4 linked regions of the Tamandua tetradactyla genome follow. The protein of the gene in region 1 purifies or fractionates together with the protein of each later gene. This does not show direct contact. Links are inferred from orthologs where the notes say so. Each region holds a gene or a part of one and is shown in the gene's direction. Other genes may lie near its edges.

Region 1 (7,465 bases):
CTGGGGAGCTGACACCACGGCACTGAGGCTCAAGAGATCAAGTGGGCTGGGCTCATTACGCTTGGGATGTCTGGGCTGAGGCAGTAGGTGCTTGTCCTGCTGGCACCGGGGAGCCACAGAGGGGTCTTGCACTGGAGCAGGTCAGAGGGAGGAAGGAACTGCTCTAAGGAGCTTTGGAGGTGACAAGAGGGAGGTGAGTGAGCATTGACCTTGGTCAGTAAGGGGCAGACAGAAGGCCTCTGAGCTGCCAGAGTCTGGTTTCAGGCTCATTCAGCAGGGCCCAAATCAAGGAACTTTCCAGGAGAGAGGTCAGGCCAGTTAAGACTAAGAGAAGCTGTTTTCCTCTTTCTCCGTTGTATCCCCCTACTCATTCCCATCATCTCTCTGACTTCCCCCGGTTCCTCCGGCCCCTTGCTCTACCCACTCCTCCAACTCCAGGCCCCTCTGTCTGGGAGCTTTCAGGAATAGATCAAGTCCCACCTGAAAGGACAGGTATGGGGGTCGCTGACCTGACTAGCCCGGCACCTGGGCCAGGTCTGTCACCTGGGAGAAGCAAGAGGAGCTACTTGAGCAGCCATGGTTTCCAGCAGCTCAAACCTTGACCCCTTCTCTCCTGCCATCGGTGGTCCACATCTGCAGACACCTGAAGGAACAAACCAGAAGGTTAAGCAAGCGCCAGGCCTGGGCCCGGGGGCTCCCCCCACCTCTCTGCCCCTCCCGAAGGATCAGTAATGGTGAGGCAGTGAAACGGCAGCCAGGGTTGAGTTGGTCTGGGGGAGGCCAGACAAGGGGAAACTTTGAGGAGAGGCCTGTCAGGGTTCCAGAGGCCTGGGCAGTTACTTATGCTTCCCCTATCTGAGCCTCAGTTTCCCCATCTGACGAGTGAGGGTATTGGATGGGATGGCCTCTGAGGGCCCCCTCCTCTCTGACTTTCAGAAATCTGGAGCCTGACTGCCTGGGTTTGCATCCCAGCTCCTCCCTTTACCGTCCATGGCACCTTTGGGCCTCAGTTTCCTCATCTGTCAGAGGAGGCTAAGAGCTGTCCCTGCTTCACAGGATGAACTGAAATGACACGTGCCGTGTCTGGCACACAGTAGGTGCTCCATAAGTGTGTGACCAAAGCTTTGGGTGGAGAAGGGCTAACCAAGGTGAACGGCTCTCAGAGCAGGAGTTTGGGGTGGAATGGGGCCACAAGGGGAAGCATGGGCGGCGGGGGGGGGGGGGGGGAACAGTGCACCCTGCCCAGGCATCCCAGGGGGTAGGATTGGACCTCTGAGGTTCTACCTACCTGGCACCTACTTCCCCCTTGGTCCACCCATCCCCAAACATCCCACACCGGGTGGAGCCAGCAGCCAGGAAGATGACTGTGCAGGGAGCAGAGTGGCCACATGGGGGCAGCAGAGGATCAGCCGGGGCAGCAGAGTCCCCCCGGCCTCACCGGAGGATGGGGGTTGGGTAGGGGGCAGATAAAAAATGAGGCCGATGGGCTGAGATTGGATGGGGTGCCGGGAAGCGCGAAGCTGCAGCAGGTGGCGGCTGGGGAGTGGCCACCTGTCTCCAGAACCTCAGGTCATGTCCTATATTCACTCATCCAGGAAGTCATTGGTTCCTTTTATTCTTTTCTTCAGTTTATGTATTCTTTTCGAGCCAGCTTATCTTCCTTTCTCTTTCCCTCCCTCTCTCTTACCCTCCCTCCTCTTCCTTGCCTTCCCGTGTCTGTGCAGCCAGGCAGTCAATTAGACATAACATCCTGAGCAGCTGCTGGGGGCCAGCCTGACCCCAGGGCTCCTCTTCAGGCTGCCCAGCTGGGTCAGCTGCAATCCGAGTTGCTCCCCGCCCAGCTCAGGGCCAAAGGACCTGCAGCCCTGCAGAGGGGACTCTGCTGAGGGCCAAGGGCTGGCCTGGCCACCTCTGCTCTTCTGGGGTCGGTGGGGTAGTGACCCACTGAGTTGGGTTCCCAACCGACTCTGGACTCAGGGTGGGTGGGGGCTGGAGGAGCTGGGTCACCCACAGTCTGGTAGTAAACAGTGGCCACACTCGACTGGAACCATGCCAGCTACCGTGGCTGGGGCAGACAGTGACCTGAGTCACCTCCCAATGCCAAAAATAAACTGCAGAGAAAGTGTGGTCCAGGCCCCAGCAAGGCCTGAGGTTCCAGGAAATTCCCTGCCGAGCAAGGCAGATTCCACGGCCCACTCACCAAGCTCCCCCCTTGCAGGGGCAGAGAGGGTGGGGGTGAGGCTGGGGCTTGATGTTAGGAGCTCTGGGTTCAAATTCCACCTCTACATCCTGCTAGCCTGAGACGAGCCACCGCCTCTCTCTGAACCTTGGTTCCTGAATCCATGATATGGGGTGGGTGAGCTGTGCCCAGGCTGAGAGCTGCGTGAGAGCATGTTGAGAAGAGAGCCCCGCTTTGGGGCAGACCTGAGTTCACCTTCAAGATCTGCCTCTTACTGATTGTGGGCCTCGGACAAAGAGCTTAAGCTCCCTGGGCCTTGGGCTTCTCATCTGTAAAATGGGGCTGATAATTCTTGCCTCCTGGCGGACAGTATCTACATGTGGTTGGCATCCATTAATGGGCGATGTTGTCACTAGGAAATGTTCGGTGAAACTGGAATGCACGGCCAGGGTGTCATTAGAGCAATTATCACCATAGCAACCAGGCCAAACTCCACTGTCTGACGCTCAGCTCCCTCCACCCCCAGACTGGCCCATCTGTCTCCCAGCCTTGCCACCCAATGACAGCAGCCACCACGGGGCTGATGGGGGATGACGGGACAGCCGAGCATAGGGCCTCTCCCCACCACTCCTTGGGGCGGGGAGTCCTGCTCAGCAGCTACACACCCAGACAGGTGCCAAGTCACTACCCAGCCCTATGGCAGTTTCGGGGAGGAAGGGGCACCTGAAAGGTGGTGATGTCCTGGGGACACGCCTTCCATCCAGGCGAGGCCCCGTTCAGCCTGCTGAGCGTGGTTCTGTGGGTGAGCACTGGAAAAGGAGTCAGGGATCTGGGCTCCAGCTGTGTGACCTTGGGCAAGTTACTCTACCTCTCTGTGCACTGGGGGAGCACTAACTCCTGCCCTCGCTGGCTCTTTCGGCCACAGTGAGGTTCAAAGGGGGCTGAAGGTGCTTTCTCACCTGCCTGACTTTGAATTCCCTGGGAGATGAGTCATAGCCTGCAAGGGGCAGGGAGAGGTGAAAGCCAAAAACTTCCGACCATCGTCCCTTAAAGCTTCAAAGAAAACAGTCCAGGATCTGGAGAGACTCTAGCACTTTTTAGAAAGAGATTTCAACCCAAGACTACACCAGGCCACTAACAGGTGGGGAGATCAGGTGCCCGGAGTGGCTGCGGCCCCCCCAAACCACCGCTCTTTTGCCTTCATATCTTTGCACATGCTGTTCCCTCGGTCTGAAACACCTATCTCCCTCCTCCAGCTGACTGTCTCGCTTTTCCCTCAGGCTCTGGCCAGCGGGTCCCTCTGCCCAGAAGGGCTTCCTGATCCCTCGAGCTGGGCAAGTGGTCCCTCTTCCATAGTCCCACTGCTGTCCATCCCCTTCCCCCATGCCCGTTCGGACTGCCCTGTTTTCCTGGCAGACTTCCATTATGGGCTGGGGCTTCTCAAGGCAGGCATTTGGTCTTGAAGGTTGCAGAGTCCCTTGAACACCATGGGGGGGCAGGGCAGGTCATCCGTATTGGTTAAATAATAAGGACCACCCCCACACAAGCCCCCACCATGCACTGGGCTCTGGGCTAGGCACTTCCTAGCTGGAAGGCTCCACCTTTTCCCCTCCATCAGTCCCCAGCCAGAGGCGACACAGGTGGTCATCCACCTGCACTGACAGCTTCCCAGGGCTGGTAGGGGGAGGGCAGGCCAGAAGGGCGTGTCTGAACAACCTCCTCCACACCTGGCCTGAAACGCCTGGAGGGAGGGCTGTGAATCCTGTCCCCAGCGGCAGGAGGGAAAATGCTCATTCATTCATTCATTCATTCATTCAAGGTCGCAGCCTCCCACTCTGTGACCCAGTCCCTGTTTGTACCCGGAGCTGGTAGGCCACCCCCCACCTCCCTGCCTCCTCTTATCCTGTCCCCCCACCCCCTCCTTCACTGTCCAGCCATTTGTCCTCTCCCCACCAGGCCAGAGCCCCCTCCTGTAGGCAGAGGCTGAGCCCGGATCCCTCCTGTGGCCTCAGCGCCCGCACACAGTAGGCGCTCAATAAATGCGTGCTCTGCAGCAGCTGTGAAAGGGGAGCGAGCCCCCGAGGTAGGGGGGTGGGGGGACCCCGGCCAGGCGATCGGCCGATCGGGGGGACCTGTCACCTGGACGGGCGGCCGCCCGCCCGCACTTCCTCCCGCCGCCCCGCCCCTTCCACATTCCTGCCCCGCCGGGCCTGCCCCGCGCCGGTCCCTGCGCCGCCGCCCGGCCCGACCCCGCCGCGCGCCCCGGCCCCTCCGCGGCCCCGCGATGGAGGCGGCCACGGCCGCGGGCGAGGAGGAGGTCCCGGGCGTGCCGTCCGTCAAGGTGGTCCTGGTGGGCGACGGCGGCTGCGGGAAGACGTCGCTGCTGATGGTGTTCGCCCACGGGGCCTTCCCCGAGGTGAGTGCCAGCGCCCCGCGGGGCCGGCCGGTGGCCTGGGGCAGGGGTGGGGTGGGGGGTGCGGGCTTGGGGAAGGGGCTGCCAGGGATGCGGGGTCAAGGGCAGCAAGCTCCCCATCTCGCTGTGCCATCTGGGCTGAAGGCCCCAGGGATGTCATCTGCAGAGTGGGGAGGAGGGCACCTACTTAGGGAAAGGCACCGGGGACCGATCCAGACACACTGGGTACCGTCGCGGGCCCTGGGAGCGCTTGGTGGCACGGCTTGGCTCGGTGCCGGCTCGGAAGCCAGGATGCCTGGGATCAAATCACAGCTTTGCCACTTCGAGCTGTGTGCCCTTGGGCAAGTGCCCTACCCTCTCTGTGCCCATTTCTTTAACTGTATAATAGGAACCATAGGAACGTGCCCACTCCGCAGGGTCTCTGTGAGGGGTGGATTTAGACTGGTCATGCAGTGGGCACTGAGCTTGTGCACAGTAGGACTCAGGGGAGTTGGTGACTGTCCCTTTAGGGTACTCTCTTCCCTCCCCACCCCCAGCTCTGGCCCCCACACTGGGCATCCCAGTGGAGGGTAAGAGCACCGGCCCTGGGGTCACACTGCTGGGAGGGCACCTCGGCTCTGTAACTCCTCACATGACCCTCGCTAACTCGCTCAGCCTCTCTGAGCCTCAGTTTTCTCCCAGCGACCTCATGGGATGGAGGGACCCCAAGAGTGAAGTAGAAATAAGGTGACGCTGCTCAATGGCTCTGTGCGGTGCCTGGCATGGCGTGGGCACTCTGGGCATGGTGACTATCCTTCCTTCACCCCCCTCCCCCACTCCAGGCACCGGGACAGGGCAGGGCCGGATCCCCCCAGGTGCCGCCCCAGTCCAGCCACCCCAAGAATCCATGGGTTTGCTTCCAGCAACTCTGCTTCCTCCCTTTCTCCTCCGAACCCCCCGGGGCTGTGTGGGTGGGTGCTGGACAGTCTTGGCAGGGGAGGTGGGAGAGGCCGGCCTGGTGACAGCCAGCCTTGGGGCTTTCTTTAACTGGGGCAATGTGGGGCCGGCTCTTAACTTGGGACTTTTTGAGCCGACGTCAGCCCATTTGGCCAGACATAGGGTTTTTGGTCAGTTGTGGGGTGGCCGTGTTTCCAGGCCCCTGGACGCTGCCCTGGTGGGAACCTCGCAATTGCAGCATGGTGGGCCGCTAAGCGTTTTGCAATCACTGCACTGCAAGCGGTTTGAAGGACACATGAGCTGGCCAGGGGCGGGGAGGGTATGTTTGTCACCAAGGGGGTGGACCTACAAGCCCATGTTCCACCCCCTGGTGAGTGCCAAGAGCAGCCTCTTTTGTTAAACAAACCACCCATCTGAGAGCTGGGAAGGTGCTCATTGTACAGGTGGGAAAACTGAGACCAGAGGGGTAGTCTCCCTTGGGGCAGGCAGTGGGCAGGGGCAGTGCTGGTCTGGAAGCTGGCCCTCCCCTCCCTGCTCCAGCCTGGACACTCTCTGCAGCCCCCCTTATCCCAGTGCTCTGCCTGCTGGACCCAGCCTCCTCCTGCCCCCTGCTCCAGGTCTCCTCCTCCAGGCAGCCCTCAGCCTGGGAGGCAGCAGCTAGGAGGCTTGGGCAGAGAGCAGGCTGGGGGTTTGGAGAGGCCTCTCTGGCCCTCCACTGGCAGGGGCGTCGGGGTGGAGGGAGCTCCCGAGGCAGGTGGGGATACCTGGGGGTCAGTCCCTTCTGATATTAGCTGCATCCTTCCCGGTCTGTGCCAGGACCCCCAGGGTGTCCTGCTCAGGAGAACCCCTGACACCCCTCACTCAAGCTGTGTCCCTGACCTGTAATGCTCCATCGGTCCGTCCCCGAACCCCATGATGGCAGCCCTGGGGCCGGAGTCATGTCTGTCCTGGCCTGGCCTGGGCTGGTCTCTCTGGCTCAACAGATAAGATTAGGTTCCTGTGACACTTCTGGGACAAAGGGTGACCCTGCCTGACCATTCAAAGGTTACAACAGTAGGTGTGGACGAGGTGTCCAGGATGATGTTCCCCAGTGGAAGGAAGTGCTGTGGCAGTCACGAACTCTGGATGGGGCTTTCCTGCTCGCTGCAGGCACCGGGGACAGGGCAGGAACTGGACCTGGTGACCTCAGAAAGGCAGGTGGCCGGGGACAGCATCCTGGCTCCGTCGCTGACAAGCTGTCCGGCGTCTCACTTCCCCCTCTCTGGACCTCCACATTCTCATCAGAAAAAGGGGACTGAACCGATACCCTAAGGTGGCAAGGATCAGGGATGGTGGCTGCAGAGGCTCACTCACAGTAGGTCTTCAGAGTTCACGGGCGCTGGGGACATCACCAGGGTCATTTGCAAAGTGCTGACACATTTCCCGAGAGCTTCCATCGGGAGGGTCCTGCCCCAGCCCCTCTCCTGGTGAGTGGGTAGTCAACCTGGGAGATTATAGAGACAGCTGTCACCCACATTCCAGGGCAAAGGTCAGGGGCTGGCAAGGGGCTGGGAAAGGTGGTGACCCCTGGAGGGCATGGACAGTGACTGGCGAGCCTCTAAGTGCCGGGTCTTGGTGCTAAGGGCTTCACCTGGACGCCAGGCTTCCTACTTCATCTTCCCGTTTAACCAGCAAGGGGGCTGCCGCTCAGAGTGGCCAAGTGACTGGTCCAAGGTCACAGAGCCGGTGAGGGCCAGAGCTTGAGGGGAGGGGCCCTGGGGCAGGCCCTGGGGAGGCAGTTGGGGTCCTGGGCTGTTCCTATTGGTACAGGGAGTGATGGGGTGGCCAAGTCCAGGGTGGGTTGCACCCCCCACCCCCCCATCCCCACCCTAAGGCTATCCCTAACCTCTCCATCTTCCTCAGCTGCCAAAACAGGAACCTGAATTCCTCCCCACCCA
Region 2 (7,795 bases), on another chromosome or scaffold:
ACACCTGCCTGCCAGGTGCTTCCAGCCAGTGCTGATGCACGTACAGATGCTGTGGGAGCTCGTGCTACTCGGGGAGCCCCTGGTGGTCCTGGCACCCTCACCAGCCGTGTCCTCAGAGATTGTGCTGGCTCTGACCAGGTGCTTGTCCAGGCCCAGAGCAGCTAGATAGGGGCAGGGGGTGGAGTCCAAGATGGGGGCAGCCAGGGGTGGGGACAAGGGGGATGAGGGCAGCTGGGAATGGGGCCCAGGGATGGGGTTCCAGGCACATGGCTCAGCAGTGTTGCCGGGCCCTAGGGCAGTCCCCGCTGGAGGCTGGGAAGCACCTGGGCCCAGACTGAGTCCCGCCCTGCCCGCTGCCCCTGCACAGCCTCCTGCAGCCCTTGCGATTCTGCTCTGACTATCGCCCCTACTTCACCGTCCACGACAGTGAGTTCAAGGAGCTCATGACCCGCACACGTGCCCCGTAAGTGCCTCCCAGCCTGTGCATTGCCCAGGCTGCCCCCCCCCGCCCACCCTCCTGCACCCCCCCCGCCCGCTCCTGCCCGCTCTGCCTCTGCCTCTGCTTCTGCCTCTTCTCTCTAGACCGAAGGTGGTCCTGGGAGTGACAAACCCTTTCTTTATCAAAACGCTCCAGCACTGGCCCCACATTCTCCGAGTGGGGGAGCCCAGAATGTCAGGTGAGGTTGGCCGGGGCCTCCCCCACCCTCAGCCATGAGGGGAGATGGCAGCTCCCTGGGGGTACTGCAGCACTGAGCCCCACCTGGCATGTCGTAGGGGACTTTCCTAAACAGGTCAAGCTGAAGAAGCCTTCGCGGCTTAAGACCCTGGACACCAAGCCAGGTCTGTTGCCCCCCTCCACCCCATCCCTCACCCGCAGCTGCCCACCTTCCCCTTCCCAACCTCAAATTGGGTCTGCAGTGGAGCTCAGCCCTCTCACCGTAGGGTGTTCTTGGCTCGGTGGCCTCTTGGCTTTCAGGCCAGGAAGGTTGGGTCATGAAGTTACAGGCGCATTAGATGCCCTGTTACCCAGGGGAGGGGCTGCCGGGCAGTGGGGAGCCAGGCCGCCCCGGACCAGGCAGCTCGCCCTCTGCCCAGGCCTCTACACGTCGTACTCAGCGCACCTCAGCCGGGACAAGGCACTGCTGAAGCGGCTGCTAAAGGTTGGTGTCTGGGGCAGGGGCGCAGATGGGCCGGGAGTGTGGATGGGACCTGGGGCGCCAGGTCTGATGGAGCCCCCACCACAGGGTGTACAGAGGCAGCGCCCCTCAGACACGCTGAGCGCCCTGCTGCGGCGGCATCTCCTAGAGCTCACGCAGAGCTTCCTCTTTCCCCTGGTGAGGCCCACAGGTGGGGTCGGTGAGGGTGGTAGGGGTTGCGGTGGCTGGATCTCACCCCTGCCCTTCTCAGGAACACTACATGACTAGCCTCATGCCTCTGCGGAGGAGCGTGGAGCCCTGGAAGGTGGGTGCTGGGGAGGGCCGGGCATCTGTGCGGGGCTGGGGAGGCAGAGAAATGGGACAGATGGGGGTGGGGGCACGTCTGACATGGGTTCTCTGGGGAGGAGGGCCCCAGCCGAATGGGGGGATGCCCAAGCTCACCCCCAGCCTCTCCTTAGTCGCCGCCCCAGATCCGCCCGTTCCTCCAGGATGACTTTCTGCGCAGCCTGGAGCACGCAGGACCCGGGCTCACCTGCATCATCAAGGGTGACTGGCTGGGCCTCTACAGGTGGGCAGGGTGGGGACTTGCGGGGGGAGGCAGGGGCCATATCCTCCCCTCACTCCGTCATCTGCTGCCCCTGCCTCTCCCTACCCGCAGGCGTTTTTTCAAGTCCCCCCACTTTGACGGCTGGTACCGTCAGCGGCACAAGGAGATGGCCCAGCAGCTGGAGGCGCTGCACCTCCAGGCTATATGCGAGGCGGTGAGGGCCTGGCGGGGCAGGGGCAGGGTACAGGGGACAGGGGACAGGGGGCAGGGGGCAAGGGGCAAGGGGCAGCCAGCGTAACAGCAGCCCTGCTTGCTCCCGCAGGACCTCGAGGCTTGGATGAAGGACAAGTCCGAGGTGGAGGTGGTGGACCTGGTCCTGAAACTCCGGGAAAAACTGGTGAGGCCTGTACCCTGTCCAGAGGCTGGGGATGCTGGGTGGCCCGCCCATGACCCCTGAACCCAGCTGTCCCTGCAGGTGCGGGCCCAGGGCCACCAGCTCCCGGTGAAAGAAGAGATACTGCGGCTAGCACAGCTGTACCTGGAGAAGGTCATGAGCTCTCTTCCTAAGAACCTGCAGGCCGTGTTGAGCCTCCCCTGAGGCTGTGAGGGCCAGAGGACTGGATCCTGACAAAGGCTTTCTCCACCAATGCCCCCTCCCATTTGCCCTCCTCCACTCATGGCCTAGCTCCCACCGCCCCACAGTAAACACAGCATGTGGGCCTACAGCCTGTCCCTGATTGTCTGTTGGGGGGGAGGTATCTGCAGCCAGAGCTCGCCCTGCCTGCGCCCACCTGCCCCTGTGGGGTTCCACACGGGACGGGGCTGGACGGTGTTGCTGGGGGGCCCTGGGGGAGAAGGGCTGAGGCGGAGAGGATGAGGAAGATTTAGGGGGTCTGTGAACATGCCCTTATCTGGACTCTCGCCTGAGCCATCCCCCCTTCTTGGGGGCAACTGACGGATGACCCCCCTGTCTGGCTTGGGGCTCGACTGGGAGGGAGGAGTCTACCCCCCCCCCACCGCCCCCTTCTGGGTGCGGCCCTTGGCCAGAGCTTGGTTGCGGACGGCCACGAGGGGGCGGTGTGGGGCCGAGGGCGGCTGGGAGGGCGGGCCCTCTCAGGCCCTGGGCGGGGCGGTGCTGCTGTGGGGCCACCCCACCCTCAGCCTGAGTGCCCTGGACTCCAGCCCCGGCTCCGGGCTCAGCTGGCCTGCGGCCTGGAGCCTCCGACCCTCAAGCTCCCGAGAAGGCCACACTGACTGGTCCGACTCTCAGCCCTGCGGGGCCTGGCATGTCTGGCCCCTCCCCGAGCGAGGTGGGGTGCAGTGGTCCTTGAAGCCACCTGCAGTCCTGGGCGCTTGGGCAGCGGGTCCTGTGGAAGTGGCGCGGGGCTGCCCGGGGAAACACGGTGGTGGGAGGGGGTAGACCGCGTTTGCCCCTGGCTGTCTGTTCAGGGGCTCCACAGAAGTCCCCTGACGCCCCCAGGGGTGCTGACCTCCCCCAGTCCTGGAGGAGCTACAGGGAGGTATCTGGGCTGGCCTGGCAGCTACTCACTGCTGTGACCACACTGAGTGAGGGGTATGCTATCTCCCAGGGCTTCTAGGGCTGCTAGGGTCACTCCCCACCGAGGGGTCTGCCTGGCTATCCCTCAGCAGTTGTTCCTCATTGATCTGGGAGCCTTGGGGGCCATGGGGGGTGCTGACAGGAGCTGTGGGTTCCCAGGGGGTTAGGTGGGGTTGGGTGACAGGAGGCTGAGACAGACAGAAGGAGGGTGGGGATATTGCTGGGTGGGAAGTCCTGCTGTCCGCATCCTGTCCCCAGACCCCTGCGCTCTCCACAGGATTCTGTCACTCTGGGCCCGCCAAGCCTCTGCACCCACCAGGGCAGACTGAGGCAGCCCCCTCTGCACCCAGGGCCTGGGACGGGTTTATAGGACCTCTAGCCCCAGAGGTTTGCAGGGGTGGCCAAGAGGGTGGGACCAGGATAGGAAAGGAAAGGTTTTCACCACTAGGCTTCCTGCGATCTATTTAAAGACTTGCTTTTGGTCTGGGGTTGCATCCTTCCCATATTTTTGGTATTAAAATGTCATTTTATGATGCAATGCTTGTCTTTTAATTTCCTTTTCTGGCAGGCTGTCAGACCCCAGCAGTTTGGGGTCCCAGACTTGGGCTGTGGTTTGGGCTGGACCAGGATCTGCCTGGGGCCGGGGTGTGGGGACAACGGGGGAAGTCTGCTCCGTGGGGGAGATCTTCAGGATTGGGGTTGTTCCTTGGAGTGGGGTGAGCAGTGAGGGGTGTGATTCCTGAGGGCTAGTGAGGGGATGGGAGGAAGTGAACATGTCTGTGTGGAGAGAAGGTCCTCAAGTGGGCCAGGGCTGGACTGGAAGTGGGGAGTGGCCCCTAGTCACCAGGGCTCCCTGGGTCTTCCACCCACTGGACTGGCAACTCCCTGGAGGGGTAGAGGGAGCAGAATTGGCCCCACACAGGGAGGCCCCCACGTTTTCTTAACTCAGGGGTCCCAGGGACATCAGGACCAGGCACCAGGGTGCTGGGCAGGGCTAGAAGCAGCTCCCCTACCAACCACCCTGTACCTCCAGGCACTCAAGGACCAGTCTGGTGGGGCCGGTGGGTTCTGGAGGCGGAGAGTGGGAGGTGAGTTGCAGTCAAAGATGTGAGCTGTGAGAGGACCCCAGGGGAGCCCTCTTCCCCTCAGAAATTTAGGAGTGGCAGGGCAGTTGGGTGCTGGCGGCTGGCCAAGCCTGGAGGAGAATCCCCCAGCGCTGGGGACCTCGGGACCGGCTCGAATCCCAACCCTGGAGCCGGCGCGGGGCACTCCCCGATGGTGCCTGGCCGAGGGGGTTACTCTGTCTGGCGTGCCTTGGGTTGCTCCTGCCCGGCAGTTCCGCGGCGACCCGGGCTGTCGGCTGGGCGGGCGTGGGGCGCACGGGGAGCGCGGGCCTCTGTCTTTCTCCCCTCCCTCCTTTCCCTACCCCCGCGCTCCTCCCCTCTCTCTTCCCTTCCCACCTCTCCTCCCACCTCCCCTTCTTCCTCCCTTCCCTCCTCCCGACCCACCTCCCTTCTCTCCGCGCTCCTCTCCTCCCTCCCTCTGTCGGGGGCGGGGCCGGCGAATCCCGCGCGCTCCAGGGGCCCCTCCTCGGCCACACAAAGGCCTGTCTCCATGGCAGCCGCGCGGGCCGCAGCGCGCAGGAGCGCGGCCTGGGCGTCATCGAGCCGCGGCAGCCGGACATGCAGGTACCCGGCATTGGGGGACGCGGGACCCGGGGCGATGAGCCTTGCAAACAACGCCCGCTCCGTGGCTTGCTGCGGGGACACCTCGGCGGCGGCGGTCGGTCTGTCCTCCCGGCCCGCTCTCTTCCCAGTCTGGGGAGGCCTGCGGCGCGGGGCTGGGGACGCGCGCCTGGCCGCGCGGGGACTCCCCCGCCAGAGCTTCGGAGCTCTCCGGCCGACCCTGGCCCTCTGAGCAGCTCCGACTTCTCGCTGGCCCTGGAATCCCCGCCCGCCCCGCTGAGGCCGGGGCCCCGAGACCCTGGCCACTATGTGCGGGATTGGCCCTGGCATGAAAGGGCCGCAGCCGTCCATCCCCAACCCTTGCCCGAGGTGGCCTCCCCCCGCGCGCCCCTCAGACTCCCGTGGGGAGCCCCGCGGACGGGCTGCAGGGTGGTGCAGGGTACTGGGTGCCGCTCCTGGGGTCTTGCGGTGGGTTGTTGGTGTTGTTTGGGCCATACCTCCCGGCACAGGAAGCCTCAGAACTGGGAGTGAGGGGTGGGGGACAGCATGCTCAACTCCTGGTGCCTCCCCTGCTGAGTACCACCGTGGGCCTTTTGCATCCCTTCTGAGGTTTGGCAGGCTGTCTGGCTGATTTGGGGGGGGGTCTTTTCTCCCGGATCTGGGGGGTGTCTAAGCACAAGAGTCCCCTAGCTTCCTGCTCAGACGGAAGGAACTCTTGTTCCTCCTCCTAGGCCCTGGGAAAAGGGAAGAGGGCTCTGTCCATGTGGCCTGCTGGCAGTGGGGCCCAGGACTGGGGTGCGGCTGTACCCCAAAGCTGGCAGGACATGCCCCTAGGGAGTCCCCCTGTGGGTCTGACAGCAGCCCCCTGCACCTGTGAAGCCACCTCCTGGTAGGAGATCCTTCCTGGGCATGGGGTGGAGGATGTGGCTGGGCCCGGGCCTGTGGGGCCTCCCTGCCCCTACCCAGTGGCCACCAGGCCTGGGGGAGCCGGCGGGGCCAAAGACCGTTCCTGGGAGGCTGAGAACAAGCAGGTGGACCCAGTCGCTCTGTCCCCCGCCCCACCCTGCTGCCCATCTGGGTTGCCCAGGGCCCCGGAGGGTCTTGGCTGCCGGAAAGAGTAGTTACTGAGAAAAACAAGCGTTTGGAATGTGGGTCCTCCCCTCCCCCGCCGGCCGCCTGCCAAGGAGGAATTATTTTGGATTATCCAGCTCTGTGCAGCCGCCTGAGGGGGAAGGCTGCGGCCGTGGGAGACAGATCCACTCTGGGACGTGGGCTGAGTCCTGGGAGCAAGGGGCAAGCCCGGGCAACACCGCCACCCGCGGCTGCTCAGACCGGTCAGGGGTGGGGTGTGAGCGGGGTGTGTCACCCCTGGGCTGGAGAGGGCCCGGAGGGTGGCCCCAGCAGGCCTCTGCAAGTCTGTCAACCCCTGGGAACCCCAAGCAGGAAGAGCCCTGGACCTTCCCCTCAGGGCTGGGAAGGGGCTGGGCCTGGGCACCCCACTGTCTTCCAGAAGCCCCATGACATGGGCTCTGCAGCCCTCGAGGTTGGCTAGGGACAGCCCTCGGGCAGACTGCTCAGACCCTTGGGTGCCCACGGGGTGATGAGGGGTGAAACAGTGACAGTGGCCAGGCTGGGGGAAGGGTGGCCCGGGCCCCATGCCTTCCTCTCCCCTTGCACTGGACAGCACAGGTTACCGAGTCTCATGGGTGCAAGGAGCTTCCTCTGCCATGTTGGGGTGTCCTAACTGGGTGGGGTGTGCTGCATGGGGCCGCATGACCAGGTTGTGCCTACCACCGGGGAGCAGAGCTGGCAGCTGGGCTGAGCACAGGGATCCTGGGGGCCTAGCCCCAGCCCTGGCCAGTGGAGCAGAAGAGATTGGATTGGAAAGCACCAGGGTGGGCTGCCTGCCCTCAGAGCAGTCCATATGGCCCGCAGAGCCCCCTTCCAGGATAGGCTGGTTGCCTGCACTCGGCCATTCGCAGGACGTTCTGCCAACTGGCCCCTGCCTGGGACCTAACCCAGGGGGCCACAGCCAGAGGTCCCAGTCGGTCAGCGGGCATGGGCAAGGTGTGGCCTCCCAGGCGGAGGCTGTACCTTCCAATGCCCTCCCCAGTTCTCGGCCTGGGCAGGACCCCATGAGGTAGCCCTTGGCCATCAAGGCGTGTCCCTGAGCTCATCTTCCTGAGAGCAGGAGGCAACACACACACTAGGTCCAGGGCCTCCACCAATGGGGACAGGTCATCAGAAAGGGTGGGTGCTGGTCAGGCAGAGGCCCCCCACTCCTGGCTAAGGGCTGTTTGTGTTTGGGGTGGGGGCACCAGGTGGGGTGAGGCCAGGCTTCTGACTAATTGTAATTGTCTTTGGGCCTTAAATTCTGGACTTGGTGGCCTGTAGTTTGCCAGCCCTCTCCGTGATTTGGGGTGCCCCTGCCCCCACGCCTTCTTCCCCCAGGCCATGCAGTGTTTCCACATTTTTCTCCTCAGGGCAGTTTCACATCCTCCTTGATGAGTCCCCGCCCCCCACTGCCCTCTGCTGCGTGGGCACAAGTGCTACCCGGTCCTGTGTCCGACACACCGCATCCTGCCCCACCCCATGTCCCCCCAAGACCTCTCCCCACCCCACGTACCCCACTGGCCCTTTCCCTTCCCCATCGGCCTCTGGCTGCCTCCCTAGGCTGTTCTCAGCCATCCCCAGTGTTGAGTCAGCGGCTGCTGAAACAGGCCACTTCCCCACTTCCACGGGGTCCTGGCTGGGGCAGGAGGTGGGGGAGCTCAGCCACCAGCCCCTGGGCCTTGGAGCGCCACTGGGAGGTGCAGAGACCCTGCCCCGGGGCAGGCCAGCCCAGTGA
Region 3 (6,929 bases), on another chromosome or scaffold:
CCATGAAATGGTTGGCTTAAACAATGGGGATTTATTAGTTTACAGTTTTGAGTCTGTAAAATGTCCAATTCAAGCCATCATGAAGGCAATGCTTTCTTCCCTTGGCTCCTCTGTCACATGACAAGGCCCATGGTTGCATCTATTGGTCTCTCCCTTCTCTTCCAGGTTTTGTTGATTTCATATTCTTGCTTCCATGGCCTTCTCTCTCTGTCTGAACTTCATTCCATTTATAAAGTTTAATAAAACCTCAATAAGATCATTAAGACCCATCCTACTTCTGTTACACCTTAACAGAAGTAGCATTATCAAAAAGTCTTATTTACAAAGGTCCCACACCTAAAGGAATGGATTAAAGAACATGTTTTTCTGGGGTACATACAGCTTCAAACCATCACAACCTCTAATTGGATTTCAAATGTAGATTAGCCTGCTGTGAGGATGGTAAAACCCAAATTTAAAATAACATTGTGCTGGTTTGAAACTGTTGTGTGCCCCAGAAAAACATGTTCTTTAATCCAAATTCAATATTGTTGGGTGGGATCTTTTTGATTAAGTTGTTTCCATGGAGATGTAATCCACCCAAATGTGGGCAGGAACTTTTGATTAGCTGGTTTCATGGAGATATGCTTCCACCCATTCAAAGTGAGGTTGCTTACTGGAATCCTTTAAGAGGGAACAATTTTGGAAAAAGCTTCAGAGCCAACACAGGCAGAGACATTTGGAGATATAGAAAGAAAATGCTCCCAAGGAACTCTTTAAAATCCAAAACCCAAAGGACCAGCAGATGCTAGTCATGTGGCTTCCCAGCTGACAGAGGGGTTCTGGACCCACTGCCCTTTTTGAGTCAAGGTATCTTTCCCTGTATGCCTTATTTGAACATTTTTATAGTCTTAGAACTGTAAACTTTTAATTTAACAAATTCTCTTTATAAAACCTGTTTCTGGTGTATTGTATTTAGAGCAGTATTAATGAACTAAAACAAACATCAGTGCATTTTTAGGTCTCCTAACACCTCCTTTTTTAAAACAACACCTATGAGACCTATGAGTTTGAACCTTTATGTTCTGAAACCAGTCTCTTCTGCTTCTTCTCTCCAACAGTCCTCCTACCCATTACCACCACCAGCACCACTACCACCATTACTACTACCACCAATTTCTTAACCGTTGGGTCCTTGCATATGCTATCATCATTTCCTTAGCCTGGAATTCTCTTTGCTTCCCGTCTTTGCATTATAATTGCTCAACAGATTTTTGTTTAATATCTTTCCTAATAACCTTAAAGCTCCAGGAGACCAGACCAGTCTGTCTTGTTTACCATTATACCCACAATGTCTGGCATAGTACCTAACACTTAGTAGGTTCACAACAAATATTTACTTACTTTAGGCTTCAGCCTAAGGCTGAGCCTCAAGGATCAACTCAAACATCATGTCCTTTGGGAAGGTTTCCCTGAACCACTGACACTCTGTTAGTTACCTCTCATGTGATTTATGGGCTCCCTGATCACATTTCTGTTATAGCATAATGCAGGTTTATAATAGTCTACTTCTTCCAGTAGACTATGAGGTTCTAAAGGGCAGAAACTGTGTCATCTTCATCCTTCTAACCCACAGCATTCTGTATAACATCTGTGTGCCTGTTTGAAAGAGTTGCATACCCCAGAAAAGCCATGTACTTTAATCCTGATTCAATATTGTGGGGTGGAAACCTTTGATTAGATTATTTCCATGGAAATTGACCTACTCAATTGTAGTTGTGAACTTTTTGATAGATTACTTCCACAGAGATGTGCCATGCCCAATTATGGGTGTAGCCTTTTGATTAGATGGAGATGTGACTTTGCCCATTCAAGGTGGCTCTTGATTAGTTTACTGGAGTCCTTTAAAAGGGGAAACATTTTGGAGTTGCTTCAGAGCTGACACAGATGCAGACAACTGGAGATGTGTGGAGTGCTGAAGAGAGAGCAGATGCCTAGTCATGGACATTGGGAGATTGAGAACCCAGCAGATGTCACCATGTGCCTTCTCATGAGTTGCTAAGCAAGCCAAAACCAAGGGTTGTGTCCCGGAGGAGCTAAGTGAAGGCCCACAGATGCTTAGAGAGGAAACCTCTGGCATCAGAAGCTGTAACCAATGGAACCAGGAATAAGGACCAGCAGATACCAGCTATGTGCCTTCATATGTGACAGACAATTGCCTTTCTTGAGTCAAGGTATCTTTCTCTGGATGCCTTAGTTTGGACATTTTTATGGCCTTACCAGTGTAAACTTGTAGCTTAATAAATTCTCTTTTTTAATAGTCTTTCCATTTCTGGTGTATTGCATTCCAGCAGCATTTAGCAAACTGAAACAACCTGTTATACTCGAGGAGCTCAATAAATGTCTACTGAACATATTATTAAGCAGTGTTTAAGCTTGAAGGATCCTCAGCTAAGGCCCACACCCACATGTCTCGAAGAGGAATTACATGAAAGCATTGGATAAGTAAGTCACATTTTTCTGCAACATCCACATCTACTCAATTTTTCAGGAGGGGGGGGCACAAGTAATTTCCTGTAAAGTATGTGTGTTTTTGTGTGTGTGTGTTTGTGTATGTGTGTGTGGAGCCAAATTAAAAGAACACATCAAATTTTAAGTCAAATAGGAACTTCAACAAAGCAACATTGTCCTTAGTGCTCCCTGTCCACCTCTCTGGAAGTATGCATTCCTTCTCCTTTGAGGTTCTTGGGTAGTTTACAACCTTTGGAGTAGGGAAGTCACACCTGCATGATTAAAGTTAATGACAATAAAAAAGCTGAGATTAAAAAGATTGGTTTCAGACCAGTGTAAGATCATCTAATGTCCTTTTTCACTCCACTGTCCAAGTTAGTTGCCTCATCACAAATATAGCATGGTCTAATCCACCTTAATGTATTCTCAATATAGATGTTCAAATACAAATTAGATTCAGTATTTTTCTTTTTTTTTTTTTACTTTTGCATATAGGGCATTTGGGCTGAAGAAGAGAAGGGCTGAGTAACAGCATATAGACATGTTTATAGATTTGGTATCTGAATTTACACTTCTAGCAAATGTTCTCATACTCTGATGGTGGTTGATTCAAATCATGCCCTGCCTCTCTAATGTCCTGAGTGTAACCTTTATTTTCAAAGGGCCCCATCTCAAAAGAATGCAAGAAATAAAACTTGGGCCTTTTCCTGAGGACAAAATGTTAGGTACAACTCAAGGACTAAAGACTAACAATACATGGAGAGGTGTTTGCTGCGGCTCCAAAGTACCCAGCATTTGTCTAGGGATTTACATTTAAAATAGAGCTTTAACACGCATGATATTCACTCCCAAATCTAAGCTAGTTTGGGAAACAGGAAAATGGCATTCAATATAAATGTCAGCTTCATAAAGGTGCATTGGCTAAAGAGCCTTAACACTCCCTCGGGATTAAGCTGTGAGCGCCTTCTTCTGCAACAACCCAGCAGCAGGGGAATAAAGGAACGACTATATTTCTTTGGTGGCAACACAATCATGGCAACAGAGAGCACCCACTCTTTCCACTTTGACCTATACAGTCTATCGAGGCAATTAATCAGCGCTTCTGTGGTTTTCCTATAGAATGCCAGTTGCCTTGCCAATCAAACCCTCCCACAGGATGTAGCAAGGCCACACCCTCAGCAGGGCCTCTGGGAAGGAAGGTGCTCTGGCTTACCCTGGTGGAAGCTGATATTCAGGTAGAGCCGCCAGTGAAATTTACACTTGACTCTTCCTGGACCTCAGTTTCCCTGTCTCTAAAATGGACCCTCCTCTCTTTTGACTAATTCCCTCCCATTTCACGCTGGGCCACTAGGAAGTGAAATCAGTGCTTAACCGCAGCTTCACGTACTCTGGTTAGGCGCCAGATACAGAGCTGGGCATGCTCAGTAGCTGGGGCAAGCTTGGCACCAGGAGTAGGAAGCAGCTTTCTGTGTTGGGGCGACTCAATGCGGGTACTTTGATGAATCACGTGTGTTGAGGGCCTCTTAAAGAGATAGGCACCTACTTTCCTTTCACCCTAAACACCGCCCAGAGGGCGGCGACCATGGTAATTGCAGCTGCTCAGGGGCAGGGCTTATCCTAGCGCTGAGCAGTGGTTACGGCGCGCTGCGTCAGGGGTGCTTTGCAGCCGGGAGTTCCCGGGGCCTGAAACGGCAGTTCCCCAGCCATACATAATCCACACAGGAAGAGGTGCTGCCGAATCAGCGCCGGGCAGCGGGAGCGTCCCGTGGAGCTTCCTCAGTTGAGGGTTCTAGGGTACAGGTGACAAGGCCAGAGAAAGATGGAGCAGCCCGGGGCGGCGGCGGGAGCGGGAGGCAGCAGCGAGGAAGCCGGTGCCGGCCGGAGCAACAAGCGGAGCACTGGGAACCGGGCCGCCAACGAAGAGGAAACGAAAAACAAACCCAAATTGGTGAGTACTCCCGCAGCCCCCGCTGGCCTTGAGGACAGGGAGAGCCCCGGGACCCTTCTGCTGGTGAACACAGGGGGACCCGCGGCCCCCTCCCAAGGGAGACGGCAACCTCCTTGTGCAACTCGGGAAGCCGCGTTGTAGAGGAGCGGCCACGCCGAGGCACTGAGGCGGCGTGGGGGCGGAAGAGCACCCCCCCACACACTTAACTCCTTTCTCACTCGTGTCAGCCCGGGAGGCAGTGCGCTCAGGCCAAAAAGCACTACCCCAATTTAGGGAGATCCGGAATGCTTACTGGGTAGGGTTTGTTGTTTGTCTAACTTGTGAGCGTGAGTGTGAGCCACCTTCGCGCGATTCCATTCCCCTCCCACCTCCTGCCAATTACTGTTTTGCCTCATGCTAGGGGTCAGGAGCAGAGGAACCTCTCTCCTTTTTAATCCAGGTACTCGGCGGCCCACCCACAGCCTTGCTAACCAAAAATTTAACAACTTAGGCCTTCAATCTTTCTACTTGACCAGAAATCTAAGAGAAGGGGCGTCTACGTGCGTTTCTCCCCTTGCCTCTCCATGTGCTCTCCCAAGTAACATTTCTTTGTAAGGGCGCAGGGAGCGTGGGAGTTGGAGGCTTGCTGAGGTACCATCATCAGCTGTCCTGTGTAATAGGCATAGTCACAGCGTTCTTCCACTTATTTGACCAAACATGCTCAAAAACAGTAGTCAGACTGCAAGTCTCACCGTCCTAATAGTGTGAAGCAGTGGAAGCAGTCCATTTCCTGTCCCTGGCTTGACGTGCAGAGGAATGAAATCTATGGGGCCTGGTATTAGATTGGGAAATACTGGAGTTTCTTCAGCTCATCAGTAAACTCAGTTCCTCTTTTTGTAAACTTTCTAATTTTGGCGGCCCAAGGTTAAGGATTTTCCAGCACAAATTCAAATAATTATTTCTGAAGATTCTTAGTCTAGACTTGAAGCACAAGCCACATGTTGCAAATCTAGTTTTCAGTTTTAACCAACAGTTTGATAGACATAGGGAGGGGAACGGCAACATATAAGTAAAGCTTTTCTTATGGCATTTCACCGTTTTGTGTATTTGTTTGTACTTCTTTCTCTTCCCTCATATTTGCCTTTCAGTTATCGACGGTCCTTATTGTAAAACAGTGATCAAAGGTTATCATTTCGAGAACCATATAGCCTTCCCTTATGTGGGAAGGGACTTGGTGGGATAGATAAAAATGACAGAAGGTTGAAGTCTCATCAATTCCATTTTAACATGAGGAAAATTGTGAACTTATTACTTGTTGTGTCCTGTTACCCTAGCATTTACAAGTAGAAGAAACTCAATGAAGGCTCATTGTGACTTGTCTGTGCTGGCAGAGGTTTAATGAATACTTCATTACTCTTTTTGGTCTCTGTCCTCTCTCTGCCCTGAAACTTAGAAAAGTTTTATGAGTTTATCACCAAAGCTTAAGGTATTTACAGATTCTGATGTTGTGATTTTGCAGTTTATCAGTTTGTGGTTAAAGAGTAAGCATCTTTCCTTTTTTTTTTATTTTTAAATGGGCTCAATGTAAAATTGTGGTTTAATCAGCAATTATGAGTTTAAGTAAGAATTAAAGTCAACTAATAGTTTCCACTAATAGTTTGGTACTTCCAGCAAGAAATTTTAAGTGTGCTGTCAAGAAAAAGCACTTATCTCTGTCTGTTAGTAGTAACACCTTGATTATATTCTTCCCTTCCCTTTGGCCATTTGTCCTGTTTCATCTTTTATATTTTACTTGTGTTGACAAGGTAACTAGATAGTTTTGAGATGGTATCACTTTCATTTCCCAGCCAGCTTCACTGTTCAGTGTTGAACATAGCTTGATATACTAGAACAAGTACTTGAATCCAAGTTTGCTAATATTGACATGAGCTTTCTTTTTTGCTCAAACATAGCTTTTGAGCTTTACATGATTTTGCAAACAGCTGGGTCAGAGTTAATAAAAAACAAATTTAGGAGGATATTACAGCACAATTTAAGACAAGTAAGTCGACCAAACAACGAGAATCGTCTTATTTCTTATGCAGTCTTTAGTGTTATCATGAAAGCTTTCAATGTGCTTTTCTGAAGCCTTTTTAGGAAAGAATTGATCTCGAATTCTTAACTTAAAATATTGCAAATAAGGTAAATTTTTGCCTGGACTAAATTTTATTTTGAGTATTGTGTTAATAAAAAAATCACTGTCATACCTTGAGAGAGACAGAGAGAGAGTGTATGTGTGTAAAGGCATTGTGAGGTGGGATTATAAAAGCCATGTGGTAATGGAAAATTGTTTGTGTAGGTGATTGTGGGAGATAGGGGTTCTTAAACTCCTGATATTGTCTTAAAATTTTTTGAGTGTATATAGGTACATTCATTTTTCTGGGCTCCATTGCTTCCATAAGCTTTGTGAAGGCCTCCTTCACTAAAGAAGAACCATCGACTTAAAAAGGATCGAGTAAAGGAAATGACTCAG
Region 4 (7,855 bases), on another chromosome or scaffold:
GCATCTTCCCAGATGTCATCTCCATGACTTTGCATATTCTAAAGCAACACTTCCCCTTTAGAATCCCTGGCCGGTCTCTAAATAACTTGCTTTATCTATTTGAAATTAGAGTAATTATGTTAGTCTGTTTCCTCTCACAAGATTAAGACTCCCGGGAGAATAGAGCCTCATCTTTCCGGTTCATTGCTGTGTCTCCTGTGCCTAGAACAGTGCCCAAGGAGTTCAATATGTATGTATTAAATGAATGGATTTATTTTTGAAATGCATTTCTGAATACAAATCACCAAACTTCTTTTTTTCATGTACTTAATGTAGACTAGGGGACTACAAACTTTTTTCTATAAGGGAAAAAAGTCTAAATTTTAGGCTTTACTGGCCATAGAGTCTCTGTGGCGGCCACTCAGCCCTGTCATTGCAGTGAGAAAGCAACCAAAGACAATCCCTAAACATGAGTGTGGCTATAATCCAAGAAAACCTTATTTACAAAGATTCCTGGCAGGAGAAGGGGTGCTGGATTTGGCCCATGGGCTGTAGTTTGCTGACACCTGGGTGTAGAATAAATTTGTTTTAACCCACACATTCTGGAGTAAATGTGGAAAGGGTATAGTGGTTGAAGATTAGCTGTTTTAATTGGAAGCTTAGTTCACTCTGTTTGCAGCTAGACGGGAACGTGGAGTGAGAACTATTTGTAGTGTGATAGAAACATTCCAAAAGAGAGGGCTCTCACAGGTGGCAGGATGCATTTTAGCACAGTTGTAAAAAAAAAAAAAAAATTCAGGTACTGATTTAGCCTTGCAGTGGCATTATTAAGAGAAGTATTTCTGTGAATTGAAAGTTGAAAGAGTTTTTCCTGACTACCCTTGGCCAGGTTAAGCTAGCATAGGATTCGGTTTAGGCTAATGTGGAATGATTTACTTTAGCAGCAACATTAGGAAATAGAATGAACTGAGACTATGAGGTACTTTGTCCTTTTTCTTGTGAAAGAAGAATAAAACTCAAGGATACCTGTATGCTATTTGGTACACTTTTGGAAACTTGAATTTATAAAATGTTTGTAATAGGGAAGACATAGGCAACATGTTGCCTCACTAGGATACCGCCACGTGTCTGAACTTTCCTGATACCAAAAGAACAGGTAGTCCCTGGGCTTTCTCCTTTCTTCCCACACCATTCCCCAAAGCACTCACCAGCTGGTCATGGGAAGAGCCTAGAGACTAGTTATTTCAGTTATTTGACAGATCACAGATTCTACGCTCATGGTTGGTTCCCCCAAAGAGTTTACCATCTAGAGTTGGATTGCTACTTTTCTTCAACTGAAAGGGTTAAAGAAAATGAAATATTTGTTCTACTGAGCAATTAGAATTGGATTATTAAAATCTTGATAAAATTCCAAGTAATATTCAAAACAACATCATAATCAAACCAAAGCATTCATAAGGAGGCTTGAAGTTCATTTGCTAGGTCAGACTCCCCGGTTACTGGTTATCTTTTTGGAATCACTCCTTGAGATGTATTTAATTGCTGTGTTGTAAAGTTAGTGTGTGACCTTGAGGAAGTCATTTAAGGAAGATAGGTAAGATGATGTCTCATATCCCTTTTATAACTTGTGATGGTTTTTAGTTAAGCAAATAAACAAGTTCCAATTTTCCTAGAAAAGGGAAAATCAGTGAACCCCATAGACCCCTTTGAAGCTATTAGTTTGCTTTTAGATGAAGCATTCATAACTTGGTTCTTTTTCAAAACAAAATGTTCTGCTTAGAATGGCTTGTGAAGATATAATTGGCAAATTGGAAGAGTAGCATATTTGTTCTTTACACTGAGTCTTTTTTATTAATGGATACGAAGGCCATTTAGGGAGAAATATTGTAGGCAGAAATGACTCATGTTCTTAATAGATTGGTTCAGATTCTGGTAATGAGTGTTTTGGATATTTCTCAGTTGTTTTTTAGACCTTTATGACCTGGTGAATGAGAGAAAGTTCAAAAGAGACTGGTCACACCCCAGTCCTGGGCTAGATAACTGTCAGATGGAAATGGAACCCAAAGTATCTTAGGAGCTTTCAGGAGGCAGTAAGGCAACTGACTGGCTATTGTAGCTTTTTGACTCCCTTTCCTCCTGGTGGGTATAACAGTTCTCTAAAGCTCCCTTTGTATTTCCCCTTTTTCAAAATATTTCTGAGATCATCCTAATTGGAAACGGCTTTCACATTCTCTGAACCTTTATAGTAGGTTATACCTCTTTTGTGGCATTCACGTATCTATTGCCTCATACTTTTATTGCGTTCATGAGGCTCTCCTCTGTTAGACTGCAAGCTCCTTAAAGCATGGAACCTGTATTTTTTCCCATTCTGTTGAGACAGTCTTGGGTGGAATTAGCTTCTCCTTCCTCTTCGTTCCCACAGAACTTGCGGTTATTGTGATCCTCTGCAGATCTGCCTCCTCCTGTTTATCTCTTTTACTTCTCAAAAACACAAAGCATGACTTATTCAGGTTCGCATTCCTGATCCTTCACATACGGCCCCTGGCACATAGCTGCTTAACAAATGATTAGATGAGTAGATGAGTGAGTGAAGTTGTAATCTAAATCATTAGAATATGCAATTTGGTATGTTTTTGTACAATAAGCTTTACTTGGAAGTAAAATGTATTGCCTTCTAAAATATCAAGTGTGTTGATGATACAAGGGAATCATCTATTTCAAACATAATTTAAGTGATGTTTCTTCCAGCAGAGACTTTAAGCAAAAGAGTCTTAGACTTTGTTTTATTAGATGACTTTAGGACAGGGTGTCTAGCAATGGTGAGTATTGCAAAAATGGCCAAAATGTAAGTCTTGAGGTCAAGTTCTTGCTCTGCTGGTTAGGAGTGATTTGACCCTTTCCACGTCATTTAGGCACTCAGAGACAGTTTTTCATCTGTGAAGCTGAAATAAAAGCAATATCTGATGGCCTGTACCTCACACTCTTCTCCTCCTAGGGTTGTTGAGAAAATCAAGTGATATGGTGAATGCAAAAGCACTTAGAAAACCATGAATTACCTTATGAAGGGAATATACTATTACACTGTTATTAAAGAGGGTGCCACCCTATGGTTTTAACACTTACAATTTTTTTTGTGTGTGGTTATATAAAATAAGTAATCCAACCTCTAATCAGGACAATTGGCTGTTACTCAAAGAGGAGACTTAGTTTCCACCTGTCACACCCAGGTCCTGCAAAAAAAAAAAAAAAAAGGTAGTAATGCCTAGTTAAACATACTTTCCTTGTTGTCATACTAGTGCTTTTCCAGATGGAAGGAAAGGGAGGTACAGCCAATGAATTCTATGCCCGAAGCCGAGCACTCTTCAGTCACCACACCCTTGCCTATTTTAATTTCTCCTTCCCCTTCTTTACCTTCCCCACTGTTTGATACCTTTATCATACTTTTTCTTCTGTAGCCTCCAAAGAACTTGCAGATTTTTGACAGTCTTCTTAAATTTGCTTTGTTGTCTACTTTTTTCCTGTCTTCACTCTATCTTTCCCCTCGCCACACATTCTTTATCTCTCAAACTCTACTGCAGAGAACAGAATTAGAGATGATTGGCTAAATTTCAGATTGTGTTTTGTCTCTGAGAAAGGGGAGTCCTTTCTGAATGCTACATTCTTTGCAACGATGGTAACTTTTACATTTTAGTAACTTTTCTTTATCTTTCAGCTCCATACATTCCAGAACTTGTGCTTCTTCTAAGCATCAGAGAGTAAGTCCCCAGTAGGCTTGCTTTATGGTTCCTGGAAAGTCAGTCTGGCAAAATTTATTTTGGAACAAATTTTTGTTCCAAATGGGAACCGTCTAGAAAACAGGTACTCCATCATTCATATCGATGTATGAGCAAAGCAAAACTGAGCCTTTCCTAAAATGAGACATTTGTGTTTGGCTTTATATTTTGATTGTTAGGTTGACTGTTGGGTTGAATCTTAGAAATTAATAATGCAGCAGCTTGAAAGATGTAAAGATTTAGGGGTATGATGGTATAGAAAGAGAATAAGCTTTTGTGATGAGACAGGCAGGGTATGAGCCCTTGTAGATGCCCTCTAGGTTGATGGATTCTGATTATTTTGCCTTTCAAGATCTTACTTTATTGTGTGAAACTATGGTATCTACTTCCCAGTGTGGCTATAAAAGTTGTATGTTGAATATTCCACATGGTTTCTGATATCTCAGAGGCACTCAGTAAATGTTAGTTCCCATCTCATTTAGTTAATTAGAGCATGAATCACAGTTCTTCACATTGTTAAGGCGCAGAAGCCCCATTTAAATTGGCCCAAGATAAAAGAAGTTCATTGAATCATACATTGGGAAGTTCAAGGGGTATCTGACTTGAGACTCAGCTGGATCTAGTAGTTATATGTTGTCATCAAACCTCCTCACCCCCTCATCCATCTTCCCCCATCTCTCCGTTCTGATTTCATCCACACTCATCATTCTACAACATGGTGGAAAAAAATGGCTACTTCAAATCCCAGGTGTCTGTGGTCCTTCTGTCTTGTGATCCCAGGAAGTAGAAAGCCACCCTCTTTTCTCCAGTTTAAATCCACCATAAGACCTCTGGGTCTCATTTTATTGTGTGTCTATCCCTAAACCAGTCACTCTGACTTGGGAATGGGGTGCCTCGATTAGCCAAACCAGTGCCAGCTGCCCACCTGCCCCATTGGAATCGCCTGGAGAAGGAAGGAGATGGAATAGTTACCAAAGGTGAAGATAAAAAAGTGGGACACTTCTGCAGAAGACCCAGGTTCGATTCCTGGACCATGCGCTTCCCCACCCCTGCAAAAAAAAAAAAAAAAAAAAATCTCTATTAAAGGTAGAGATTGGGGTCCCAAAGACAGCTACAGGTTACTCTCAAATTTGTGTGTTTTAAGGACCTTTCCTGCAAATTTTGGTTGATTGCTTTAAACTAGAGGTTCTTGTACTGGAGCCCATGGTATACTGCAGAGAACTTGAGAACTTCCTGAAGTCATGAACAACATTTTATACATATGCACAGAAACAGTTTTTTTTCTGAGTTAGTGTTGCACAACATGTTTTCTCCAGCAAAATCAATAAGGACTTTTTAATTTTATAAGATTCTGCAAATTCTTTGGCTTGCCTCTGCGAAACATTGGGAAAATTTTAGGAAGGGCTCTTTCACAACTATTGTTGGAAGATTAGCCTGATTAATAGAGTCTCTTATGGTTCAGACACTTTTATTTCTTCTTGTGGGACCCCTTTCTTGAATGAAATTTCCACAGAGGAAAACACTAGGTTTGGTAACTTGGTTAAAGTTATCTGTGTTTTGTAAGATGTGAAGTAATTAAATTTTGTGGGTGCTTTTGTGTTTGAAATTGAGAGCTTGCTTACAAATTGTGGTATGTGCTCATATAAACAACAGGTAGAAAGAGCTAGCTTGTGTACATATTTTTTCTTGTCTTTCATGCATAAGGAACTTCTACAATGGACTGCCAGTTCTCTTCTCAATTGTATAATAATAGGCAAGAGAAAGAATTCTGTTTCCTTGGAGTCTGTTCAAACACTGGAACCAGAAGGAGGAGTTTCCCTGCTTCTTCTAATTATATTCCGTAGCTTCTCAATCAAAATGAGGGTTTACCTGGCAATGGGTAGAAACGACTTGGCTTTTACACTCTTCCATTATTAGGTGAATGAATCAGACCTTGGGAGTGATGTGCAATCTCTGATACTAATTGTAGATCTAGAATTCTATCTTAAATCATAAACTGTCCTTTTCCCCATCCTCAAAATCAGTTGTTTCTTATGTGGGGATTTGATGCTGTAAGTATTAAATTGCTCAGATAAAGTCAGGAACCACAAGCTTCTAAAATGGATCTCCTGTTTCACTTCGTCAGATATTGGCACTGGAAGGGATCTTGAGGATTCTCATCCCATCTCTTTATTTTAATGATAAACTAAGGCTCCAACAGGTTAAATAACTTAACCAAAGTTAAGGTTTGGAGTTCAAATGAGGACCTAGGTCTCCTGTCAGGCTGGCGTGTTATATTTTATATATCTGTATTTCCAGGTATGCAATTTCAACAAATTATCTCCAAAATAATGTTTCCCTTGACCACACATGGTAAAATATACGGTCTCTGAAGGCAAGAACGAAGTCTCTCCTTTTCATCACATGTGCCTTGCAGCAGCAGCAGTAGTCATAGTGTGAGGATGAGGATGGTGATAATGCACACCTCCATTGGGGTTCTTGCCCGGCTTTGTTCTTTGCACTTTGCATGTACTGCAGCAGCCTTGTGGGTTGGATACTATTGTGATCCTCATTTTGCAAATGAGGAAACTGATGCCCAGGCACACAGGGCTTAGAACTCGGTATAGAAGGTACTATGTAAATATTTCCTGAATGAAAGCGCTGAAATTTCCAAAGCACTTTCATAACTTTACATAACGTGATGACATTTCAAGAGAGGGTGTTATTCTGCGGAGACCATAGCTCAGAGAGCTTCAGGAGCATGGCTGAGGCTGGAGGATATGTAATAGCAGCATCGGGAACAGCTTTGACCCCTACGCGTTGTCGGTGACATCTACAGACACACATCTTAAACGCCCATGGCTGCGGGCGTTGTGAGGCAGCATCTGGTTTTCTGTCTACCCGCAGACTGGCTGTTTTCAGAATCCTTTGTTTCTTTGTACAGATCCAAATTTCTATCTAGTATCAATTTCTTTCTGTCTGGAGAACCTACCTTGCCATTTCTCATAGTGTAGGTCTGTTGGCTGTGAATTCTCTCAGCTTTTGTTTATCTGAAAAAGTCTACTTCCCTTAAAAAATTATTGTGGTTATATATATATATATTTTTTTTTCAAAAGAAAAAAAAATAGTGTTTTATTAACTACCACACTGTTATAATACACTTTAAACGTACATTAAGGTAGCCTTTAAATTTGAGGTGGTCTTAAGAATAACAAATGAACAGAATTCCAAGTTTTTGAAATAGGTGAACTGCTGCAGTTATAGGTATACATTTAGGAAAATTGTATAGCTCTTACAAGACCAGCAATGTAACTTTGTTTTGTACACTTAATAATTGAAAATATAAACAATAATTAAAAAATGAAAAGAAAATACAGTGGAATAAAAAACATACAATTCTCAATTAAATGTACTGGATACATAAAATTTTAAGGGAAGAAGCAAAAAAGGAAAATGGCTGATATTTAAGTACGGACTACCTAGACCAAAGGGAAAAAAAAGCAACTTAAAAAAATATCATAAAACCTCTAGCTTTCTATGACTAATATCCATATGGTTGGAGTATCGTCACTATGGAAGTGATTTTGTTATGTTTGCATATGTTATACTTTACTGGTAATTTACATGATGGCTTTTAAGGCCCTGGCAGACATACGGTATTTGAAAACAAGATTGGATAAAAATCACTGCTAAGATGCAATACACCTTATTATTATTATTATTTTTTGGTCCTCCAATATTCAAGAAAAGGGATAATTCACTATTACACTTTTTCTTACCACCCAAATGCCTCAACCTATACATTTGAAACTTTAAACATTGGTTATATTGCCCAACTTCATTATTGAAAGGATATTGTGCTGGTTTGAAAGGATATATGCCCCCTAAGAAAAGCCATGTTTTGATATAAATCCCGTTTCTTAAAGGTAGAATAATCTCTATTCAATACTGTATGTTTGAAACTGTAATGAGATCATCTCCCTGGTTGATGAGATTTAGTTAAGAACAGTTGTTAAACTGGATTAGGGGATGACATGTCTCCACCCATTTGAGTGGGTCTTGATTGGTTTACTGGAGTCCTATAAAAGAGGAAATATTGGAGAATGAGAGATTCAGAGAGAGCA

The links.
Region 2: the proteins of RHOD (region 1) and PLXNB2 purify together in Homo sapiens (affinity purification with mass spectrometry; 3 studies listed by BioGRID and IntAct, counting the BioPlex papers as one, with this or other methods). This does not show direct contact. The link is inferred for Tamandua tetradactyla from reciprocal best matches to the Homo sapiens genes RHOD and PLXNB2.
Region 3: the proteins of RHOD (region 1) and DIAPH2 purify together in Homo sapiens (co-immunoprecipitation; 3 studies listed by BioGRID and IntAct, with this or other methods). This does not show direct contact. The link is inferred for Tamandua tetradactyla from reciprocal best matches to the Homo sapiens genes RHOD and DIAPH2.
Region 4: the proteins of RHOD (region 1) and DAAM1 purify together in Homo sapiens (affinity purification with mass spectrometry; 3 studies listed by BioGRID and IntAct, counting the BioPlex papers as one, with this or other methods). This does not show direct contact. The link is inferred for Tamandua tetradactyla from reciprocal best matches to the Homo sapiens genes RHOD and DAAM1.

Annotation. Positions count from the first base shown.
Region 1 is NC_135335.1:7,317,046-7,324,510, reverse strand, and holds the start of RHOD (rho-related GTP-binding protein RhoD), read left to right. Parts: upstream 1-4,455; 5' UTR 4,456-4,463; coding exon 4,464-4,595; intron 4,596-7,465. UniProt on the Homo sapiens protein: Involved in endosome dynamics. May coordinate membrane transport with the function of the cytoskeleton. Involved in the internalization and trafficking of activated tyrosine kinase receptors such as PDGFRB.
Region 2 is NC_135333.1:45,659,978-45,667,772, reverse strand, and holds the start of PLXNB2 (plexin-B2), read left to right. Parts: upstream 1-4,784; 5' UTR 4,785-4,950; intron 4,951-5,457; exon of another isoform or gene 5,458-5,836; intron 5,837-7,795. Other genes in the region: protein DENND6B, read left to right, coding at 16-138, 368-463, 635-1,160, 1,245-1,334, 1,408-1,461, 1,616-1,725, 1,816-1,918, 2,027-2,101 and 1 more.
Region 3 is NC_135353.1:78,531,935-78,538,863, reverse strand, and holds the start of DIAPH2 (protein diaphanous homolog 2), read left to right. Parts: upstream 1-3,917; 5' UTR 3,918-4,309; coding exon 4,310-4,438; intron 4,439-6,929. UniProt on the Homo sapiens protein: Could be involved in oogenesis. Involved in the regulation of endosome dynamics.
Region 4 is NC_135338.1:5,907,101-5,914,955, reverse strand, and holds the start of DAAM1 (disheveled-associated activator of morphogenesis 1), read left to right. Parts: upstream 1-4,841; 5' UTR 4,842-7,855. UniProt on the Homo sapiens protein: Binds to disheveled (Dvl) and Rho, and mediates Wnt-induced Dvl-Rho complex formation. May play a role as a scaffolding protein to recruit Rho-GDP and Rho-GEF, thereby enhancing Rho-GTP formation. Can direct nucleation and elongation of new actin filaments.